Linked DNA regions of Mus musculus. The protein of the gene in region 1 binds, or shares a complex with, the protein of each later gene. Links are inferred from orthologs where the notes say so. Each region holds a gene or a part of one and is shown in the gene's direction. Other genes may lie near its edges.

The links.
Region 2: the proteins of Ltk (region 1) and Alkal1 are in contact, whole or in part, in a crystal structure (PDB 7NX0), measured with the Homo sapiens proteins. The link is inferred for Mus musculus from reciprocal best matches to the Homo sapiens genes LTK and ALKAL1. Residues at the interface, in NP_002335.2 of Homo sapiens: Tyr124, His140, Phe143, Ala250, Ser251, Pro252, Glu253, Leu359, Phe360, Leu361, Gln362, Leu364, Ala365, Val366, Glu368, Glu372, Glu374, Arg376; in NP_997296.1 of Homo sapiens: His93, Arg96, Leu97, Asn100, Thr101, Arg102, Glu103, Arg112, Arg115, Leu116, Arg119, Leu120, Ser123.

Annotation. Positions count from the first base shown.
Region 1 is NC_000068.7:119,754,049-119,757,665, reverse strand, and holds part of Ltk (leukocyte tyrosine kinase receptor isoform D precursor), read left to right. Parts: intron 1-1,952; coding exon 1,953-2,051; intron 2,052-2,382; coding exon 2,383-2,535; intron 2,536-2,992; coding exon 2,993-3,088; intron 3,089-3,301; coding exon 3,302-3,494; intron 3,495-3,617. UniProt on the Homo sapiens protein: Receptor with a tyrosine-protein kinase activity. Following activation by ALKAL1 or ALKAL2 ligands at the cell surface, transduces an extracellular signal into an intracellular response.
Region 2 is NC_000067.6:6,357,922-6,362,206, forward strand, and holds the start of Alkal1 (ALK and LTK ligand 1 precursor), read left to right. Parts: upstream 1-1,409; coding exon 1,410-1,593; intron 1,594-4,285. UniProt on the Homo sapiens protein: Cytokine that acts as a physiological ligand for receptor tyrosine kinase LTK, leading to its activation. Monomeric ALKAL1 binds to LTK, leading to LTK homodimerization and activation.

The DNA of each region.
Region 1 (3,617 bases):
CCTGGAACTCCCTCTGTAAGCCAGGCTGGCCTCGAACTCACAGATACCCACCTGCCTTTGCCTCCCAGGAGTTGAAATGAAAGGCTTGCACCACCACCAAGCAGGCTGGTCTTGTTTTGTCTTTTACAAAGGGCCAAATTACCCATGCTTGGTCGCACATTCCTTTAATTCTACTATCAGGAAACAGAAACAGGCAGATCTCTGTGAGTTTCAGGCCGGTTAGGGCCCCACAACGGAACTTTGATTTAAAAACAAAAAAGAAAAGCCCAAAAATCAATTGCAAATCACACACGCAATTAAATCAAGTGCCCGTTCCAAAACAAATCCTTACTCTGCCAAAGTCTAAGGAATTTAGGGCCGGTCTTGTTAGCATGCTGCGCTGGGAGGCCTATGAGCAAGAATGGTTTAAATCAGTAGTTCTCAAAGTGTGCTTATCACAGAAGTTATTAGAAATAAAAATTCAGCCGGGCATGGTGGTGCTCGCCTTTAATCCCAGCACTCGGGAGGCAGAGGCAGGCGAATTCCTGAGTTCGAGGCCAGCCTGGTCTACAAAGTGAGTTCCAGGACAGCCAGGGCTATACAGAGAAACCCTGTCTCAAAAAAACAAACAAACAAACAAAAAAAAACAAAAACAAAAAAACAAAAAAACAAAAAAACCAAAACCAAAAACCAAAAAAAAGAAAGAAAAATACAGAGATAAAATCTGAGATGTTGGTCAAACATTAAAACAAAACTTAATTAGATAGGAGGAGTCAATTTAAGTTATCTTTAGTTCAATATACTAATCACAATTAATACCAATATTTTTGGTTCTGTCAGTATAGGGAATAAAACCCAGCCTATGGTCAAACCAAGGGCCTTGGGCATGCTAGAGAAATGCTCTCCCACGAGGCTACACCCCTAGTCTCAACAACATGGCTAAGAGAGTATTTCTGAGGTGCTCTCACTACAAAAAACGGTTTGACGGCTTAAATGATTGCACAATGCATGCACATTTCAAAGTATCATACTATGCACAATACTACACAGTTCTTATTTGTTGATTAAAATTTAGTTACTATAGTTCATTTTAAAGAGAAATGCATGGGGGGCAAGGGGGAGGTCAGCAGGAAAGGTGCTGGTCTTCTGTTTTAACAGGTCCTAAGATGCTACAGAATTTGGGGATACTGATGTAGAACTCCTAGTCTATCAGGCCTGGACTGTTCATAAATATTTCATGACACATCTTTGTTCACACAGGAATGGAGTTTGTGGGTTGAACATTCCTCATTTCACAGCTCAATGTATGGTCTGGAGGGGCTCAGACAGACAAGGGGTCCAGCCAGGCTAAGCCAGGTCTTTGGGTTCCAGCAGAATAGCCAGTCCCCCTTTCTCTAGCCCCTCAATGGCAGTGTCATTAGCACACGATTTACAATGGGAGATCTTAGCTTTCCTGCTGGTCATAAGCCAGCTTCCCACACAAGGCAGCTGCATGCTCCTCCTCAACCAGTCTCCTTTTTGTAGTTAAACCTCCATCAGCCGGGTGGTGGTGGTACACGCCTTAAATCCCAGCAGAGGATTTAAGAGGGAGGCAGAGGCAGGTGGATTTCTGAGTTTGAGGCCAGCCTGGTCTACAAAGTGAGCTCCAGGACAGCCAGGGCTACACAGAGAAACCCTGTCTCAAAAAACCAAACAAACAAAAAAACCAACCAAAACCAAAACAAACAAACAAACAAAAGATGCTAAGCACCTTTTGGGGACTGGAGAGATGGCTCAGGGGTTAAGAGCAATGAGTGCTCTTCTGAAGGTCCTGAGTTCAAATCCCAGCAACCATATAGTGGCTCACAACCATCTGTAATGAGATCTGATGCCCTCTTCTGCTGTGTCTGAAAACAGCTACACTGTACTTACATGTAATAATAATAAAAACAAAAAAACAAAAAACAAAAACCTCTATCACTCTCCATTTCAAGGCGGTGATACTTCTGAGTCTGACCTCCTCTGGGCTGATGGGGAAGATGGCACATCCTTTGTCCACCCCAGTGGTGAGCTCTACCTACAGCCTCTGGCAGGTATTTGTCTGGAACCCCTGATTCTCAGCCTGGCCAGCTCCTCCTCAATCTGGTAAAACCGTTGCCTCTCAAGCTTGGTGACCTGACACCATAGTAGAAGAAGAAAAGAAAGTCTGACTTCACAAGCATGTGTGTGCATGGCTTGGTCTACCTCTGAATGAAATCAGTCAACAGAAATTAAGTCCCCGGGGCTCTGACATCACCCTTTGTGTTGCTGTGGTTGGGACCACTCCTGACTAGGAGTAGCCATATGACTGGAAAGACCTGTGTGTCCCATCCCCATCCCCACCCCCACTTCCCATCCCACCATGTCTACTCTTTTACTCTGCAGTCACAGAGGGCCATGGGGAGGTGGAGATCCGAAAGCATCCCAACTGCAGTCACTGCCCTTTCAAAGACTGCCAGTGGCAGGCAGAGCTCTGGACGGCCGAATGCACGTGCCCAGAGGGCACGGAGCTAGCTGTGGATAATGTCACTTGCATGGGTATGTCTTCATAGAGCATTGGAAATGGATCAGGGCACAGTCTCCTGTCAAGAACATGTAGGCCAGTGTGGGAGGCAAGATGGATATTTAGATATAGATATGTATCTAAAAATGGCAGTTGCTATGGAAGGTATCAAATAGTTAAGGGGCTCTCGAGAGGGAGAGTTGCTTTTGTCTGGGGACAACTGTGGGTGGCACTGTGGGAAAGTAAACACTGAGATGGGGCTTGAAGCATGGATAAGATTTAAGGGTACCCAGTCATGGTAGCATACACCTCTCATCCCAGCAGTGAGTAGGCTGCAGCAGAATTGAGAGTCTGAGCCCAGCCTGGGTTATTGGGAGACCCTATCTCAAAAACAACAAGACAAAACAAAACACAAGACAAACGAGAAAAATACTTGAGGGTAGCAGGACAGAGGACCCTCCTGCTGGAGGTGACATTGTTCTTTCTCCCTAGACCTGCCAACCACCGCAAGCCCTCTGATCCTGATGGGAGCTGTAGTGGCAGCCTTGGCACTGAGTCTCCTAATGATGTGTGCAGTCCTGATTCTAGGTATGGGCATCTAGCATGGCTGATGCAGGCCGACCCTTCTCTCCTAGGCTGTGATGGGCTTCTCTGTGGTTCTAGGCTAAATGTGGCTGACATCATGGCCCTTACCCCACAGAGCAATGGTGGAGTCCTCTCAGCTTTTAGGAGTAGTGCCAGGGAGTCCTGGGCCTGGGGAAGCAGTGTGGGCCTGATAAATACCTCTCTTCTCACCCACAGTGAACCAGAAGTGTCAGGGCCTGTGGGGGACCAGGCTGCCAGGCCCTGAGCTTGAGCTAAGCAAGCTTCGATCCTCTGCCATCAGGACAGCACCCAACCCTTACTATTGTCAGGTGGGACTCAGTCCTGCCCAGCCCTGGCCTTTGCCCCCAGGGCTCACTGAGGTTTCACCAGCCAATGTCACTCTACTCAGGTGAGTCCTCAACCTCCTTCTGCAATGATGTGCACTTTGAAGCCCTCCTCCCCATCCTTCCTCCTGTCATGATGCATTATGAATCCCAGAGGGCATCTAACTCAAATCCCTTGTGCAGAAGAA
Region 2 (4,285 bases), on another chromosome or scaffold:
CTTGTGTTCCAGAGTAATACTAAACTTCCGATCTGATATTTCTAATTAAATTTAAATGTGAAATTCTTGTTCATGTCTGTGAACTTGTAATTTCTCAGCATTTCACTTAAGACGTGAGAAAGTTTGTTCCTTCTGCTAAGGACTCTTAAGGCTGCCTGGGAATGGGAGCATCAACATGCTATGGTGTTTGCTTAGGAATCAATGGTTCGCTTACTGCTTCCTCAAGCGTTCTGAGTGGGAAGTCTGCACAACAACTTTCTTGAAAGAGTTCTAGTCAAAGGCATGACTTTATAAAGCTCTTATAAAAGTGTTTTGTGCCTCCTGCTACAATTTCCTGGGCATGCTTGAAAACGTAATGCTTGAGTAAATTGAGATTTTTTATTTTCAGTTTGAGACACACAGGTCTCTTTGAAGAGAAATTTCGAGCCAATCAATGATTAGAGAACCACAGAGCCTTTCCATCCCCCTCAGTTATGAGAGGGTAATTAATAATCAAGCATGGGCATGTTGATATGTATACTTAAGTCAGGCAGACAAAATGGCTCAAATCATAACTGACAAAGTACTGCTTCATCTAAGACTCTTGATTTTAAACGAATGAATTTATCCTCTCCCATTCTTTGATATTAACACCGACAAAACTTTGTGATAAGAGTCCCATAATTATAGATAGATAGATAGATAGATAGATAGATAGATAGATAGATACATAGATAGAGGATAGATAGTTAGATAGATAGATAGATAGATAGATAGATAGATAGATAGATAGATAGATAAAAACAGGCAAATAAAAAAACCAGCCATGAAGATCTCTAGTCTCCAGTACAGAGGTAGTTGTGCCCCGGTGTGGCCACTCATGGCTTCTGCTGTCCCGATTATAAATCCTTTGACTTTCTAGGGGAGGCTCTGCCTCCTCTAGGTCTCTGACCGATGGGGACTCTGGACTCAGGGACAGCGGGAATGCTCACCTGGCCAGCTCTGTGGCATTGCGGAGCTCATGATCCAAGAGCTCTGCACCCTGCCTCTGCCAGCAGAAACCCCATCCCGCTCTCTTGTGTCCAGAGCTACAAGTTGCTTTCGATCCCATGGACCAACGGAAGCCATGACCCAGAGACCCACAATTAAGGCATGAGACAGAGCCGGATAGAACTTGTGACTCGCCGGTGCGACTTGGTCCTGTCTCTGCCCCACATCCTGAAGCCGAGGAAAAGATCCCCCCGGAAGCTGCGTGAGCTCCGGAGGGTCCTGTGTCCCGACATACCCTCGTCCTGGGTTCTCTTGGTCCCCCAGCACCGCCCCGCCTCCGGTCCCCGCCCAGCGCCCTAGAGCGTTTAGACCTAGTCACCCGCGCCTCCAAGTTCCATTGCCGCCCCAGCCTGCCGCTCCCAGCTACGGACACGGAGGCCATGTGGCTCACTAAGCCCAGCACCCCGGTGTCCGCACTGCTGCTGCTGGCGCTGGCTTTGTCCCCGCCTGGGACTCAGGGGCGGCCCCAGAGAAGCTTGGCAGCGCGTGTCGCTGAGCTCAGGCCAGAGCTCTTCCTCCCTGTGACAGGGACTCGCCTGCCTCCCAGAGCCTCCCGGAGCACAGGTAAGCCCTGTATGACCCCTGACCTGCCCTTTCTACAGTCTAACCACTCTTATAGCTGGGCAAGCTGCTGTCGGGAAGGCTGAATTAAGTAGAGCAGAGGGTGGACACCTGTAGATTCCTGGGAATCTTTTCCCTGGGAAGGAAATAACAGGTTGACTATATTTGCCTTGGTTCAGTCTTCAACAACAAAATTCGTCTGGGGGGAAAAAAATCAGCTTTATATGCCTCATTCCTAACTGTGGGAGGTCTTTTGGAAATACATTAACCCAACTGTGGAAAGACTCGGGTCGCAACCTTGCCTTTCAGGATGATGGACAATCTATGTATGTGACAATAGATCACCGTCCAGAGATCTCTCTGGGTCTTCTGCGGTTTAACTAACATGGCACTCCTCAGGCAGAGTGGGAATTTCAGGGAGCTGCCACGGCTGAGGCTGCTTCGATCTTTTTTGCCCCTGGATCAGTTAGATGGGCCCTAAACGCTACAATCTCTTCCAATGTCAAGTCTGGACATTCCTGCTATCAAGATGCTTAGGAGGAAGGTAGGAAAAGTTGTCAGGATAGAGAACCAGCACCGCAAGACACCTACACACAGAGATGTGTGAATGAAAAGGCAAGGGGAACAGGAGGTGTAGAGAAAGGATTGCTGGGAGCAGTGTAAGAGGCTGGCAGGTGGTGGTGAGGAAGAGAAAAGCCACTTTGGAGTATCTTTGCATAAGCCTGTAGTCAGAGCAAGGGGAAGCTGGAGCAAAGGGCCTGTCTCCCTGGCCTTCACTGAACTTGCTGAGAGAACAAAGCAAGCACAGGGGTGGCTTGGGTTAATTATACCACTGCACCCAAGGCCTCTTCTGCACCCTCTCTCCCTTTCTCTCTTGCTCCTTCCTTGAGCCTTATTTTCTTCCTTCCTTTTCTTCTCCCTCCATTCATTTTAATTCCCTTTTGTCTGAAGCAGAGTCGCACTTTGTAGCCCCCGCTTCACAGCCTCCTGGGTCAGCCTTAGAATTATTGGCATATACTACCATAGTAGCTCAGGCTTCACTTTAAAGAAAACAAGAGGTGAGGATTTCTTAGTCTCTCTCTCTCTCTCTCTCTCTCTCTCTCTCTCTCTCTCTCTCTCACTCTCTCTCTCTCACTCTAGCTGGTTTTGTTTTGTCTTGAAGTTTTACTCCATAGTTCAGACTACTTGGAACTCAATCTATAGTTCAGGCTGTCCTTGAATTTGCAGAAATCTTCCTGCCTTCACATCCCAAGTTCTGGGCTAAGAGGTGACCCATACCTATTTTACCAGTTATGATATAAATATATTCCCAGTCACCCTATAGCTTCTAGTGAGAAATTCCTTCCCAGGTACATACCTTGCAGAGAACTGAGATCAAGAAGATGGATAGGAGGACAAGTGTGTCTGTCCTTCACTACATGTCTGAGGGAGAGAGAGTAGGGGCGTGCACATACACAGACTGAGTGAGCCAGGCAGGGAGAGAAGCAGAGGGAAGTGACAGAAAGACATGGAAGGCTAGTAAGGGGATATAGACCAAACCTATTTATCTGGAAGCTCTCCAGATAAGGCAGTAGGGGCATTCAGTATGGGGGAGTCATACCTTGATGCTTTCACATTATTATACCCTTTGACTTGAAAATTATTGCTAACAAAACTATTTATCTCAGGTACTAGTGTTGCTTTAGAATACAAACGGAACGTGAGAAAAACATCAAATTGCAAAATCACTTATGGTAACACATGAATTTTACCTGTTTTATTTTAGTTTAATGCGATTTCTCTGGTTAAAGACATTGGAGAAAATTGGGGGATATAGTTCAGTGGTAGAACTATATCCTAGAACACATGCGGGCCTAGATTCAACCAGCAATTCTCCTCCCAAATGACAAAGAAGATGTAAAAACCGTATAGCCTCAAAGAAAATGAGCTATGACTCACCCTCAAAATTTATTGCTTTCTACAGCTGTTTGAGGTGGCCTCATCTTTTGATTACTGTATCTTGTTTACATGGGGAGAGAGAGGGTGACTGGTTACATCTGAGTCTATGAATGGAACTCTTGACATGGATCAAGGAAAAGCAAGGACATGAATGCAGAGAAGACAAGTTCCCATCGGGAAGTTTTCATAGGAGCGGTAAGTGGTCATAATTCATCCAGGAGGAAGCGTCTCCCAAGTCCTCGAGGCCAACGACTGTCATCCATGTTGAGCAAGCCTGCAGTTGCCCTCTGTTAGTCTAAAGTAGAACCTGTAATGTTACCCAGCCTCAGCTGGTGAAAAAAAAAAAACGAGTTCAGGGGTGGTTTAAAATGTCCTGGAACTCCCACTGGGTAATCGTGTGAGAGTAGCAGAAGTCTCTTGTGTCCCTGCCTGTGTTTTTAGGCTTAAGTTCTGGAATTCTTTCTTTTTTTTTTTTTTTTCTCTGGAATTCTTTCTGCACCTGTAAAAACTACCTCAAATGCAGCTTCTCCTCTGGTACTTTGACCACACAGATCATCTCTGGCACTGCATTGTGGTGGATCTTCCTGCACACCACAGAAGCAGTTCTGCAGTAAACACCAGCTGGGGTTCTAATTTAACTTGGTTCTGGCATTTACCATCTCTTGAAGATGAGAGTCAGAACCTACAAGCTGAGGACTGTCTCTAAGACTGTCACTGCCTCCATTGCCAACTGCAAACTCTGGGTGGTTTTACTTGT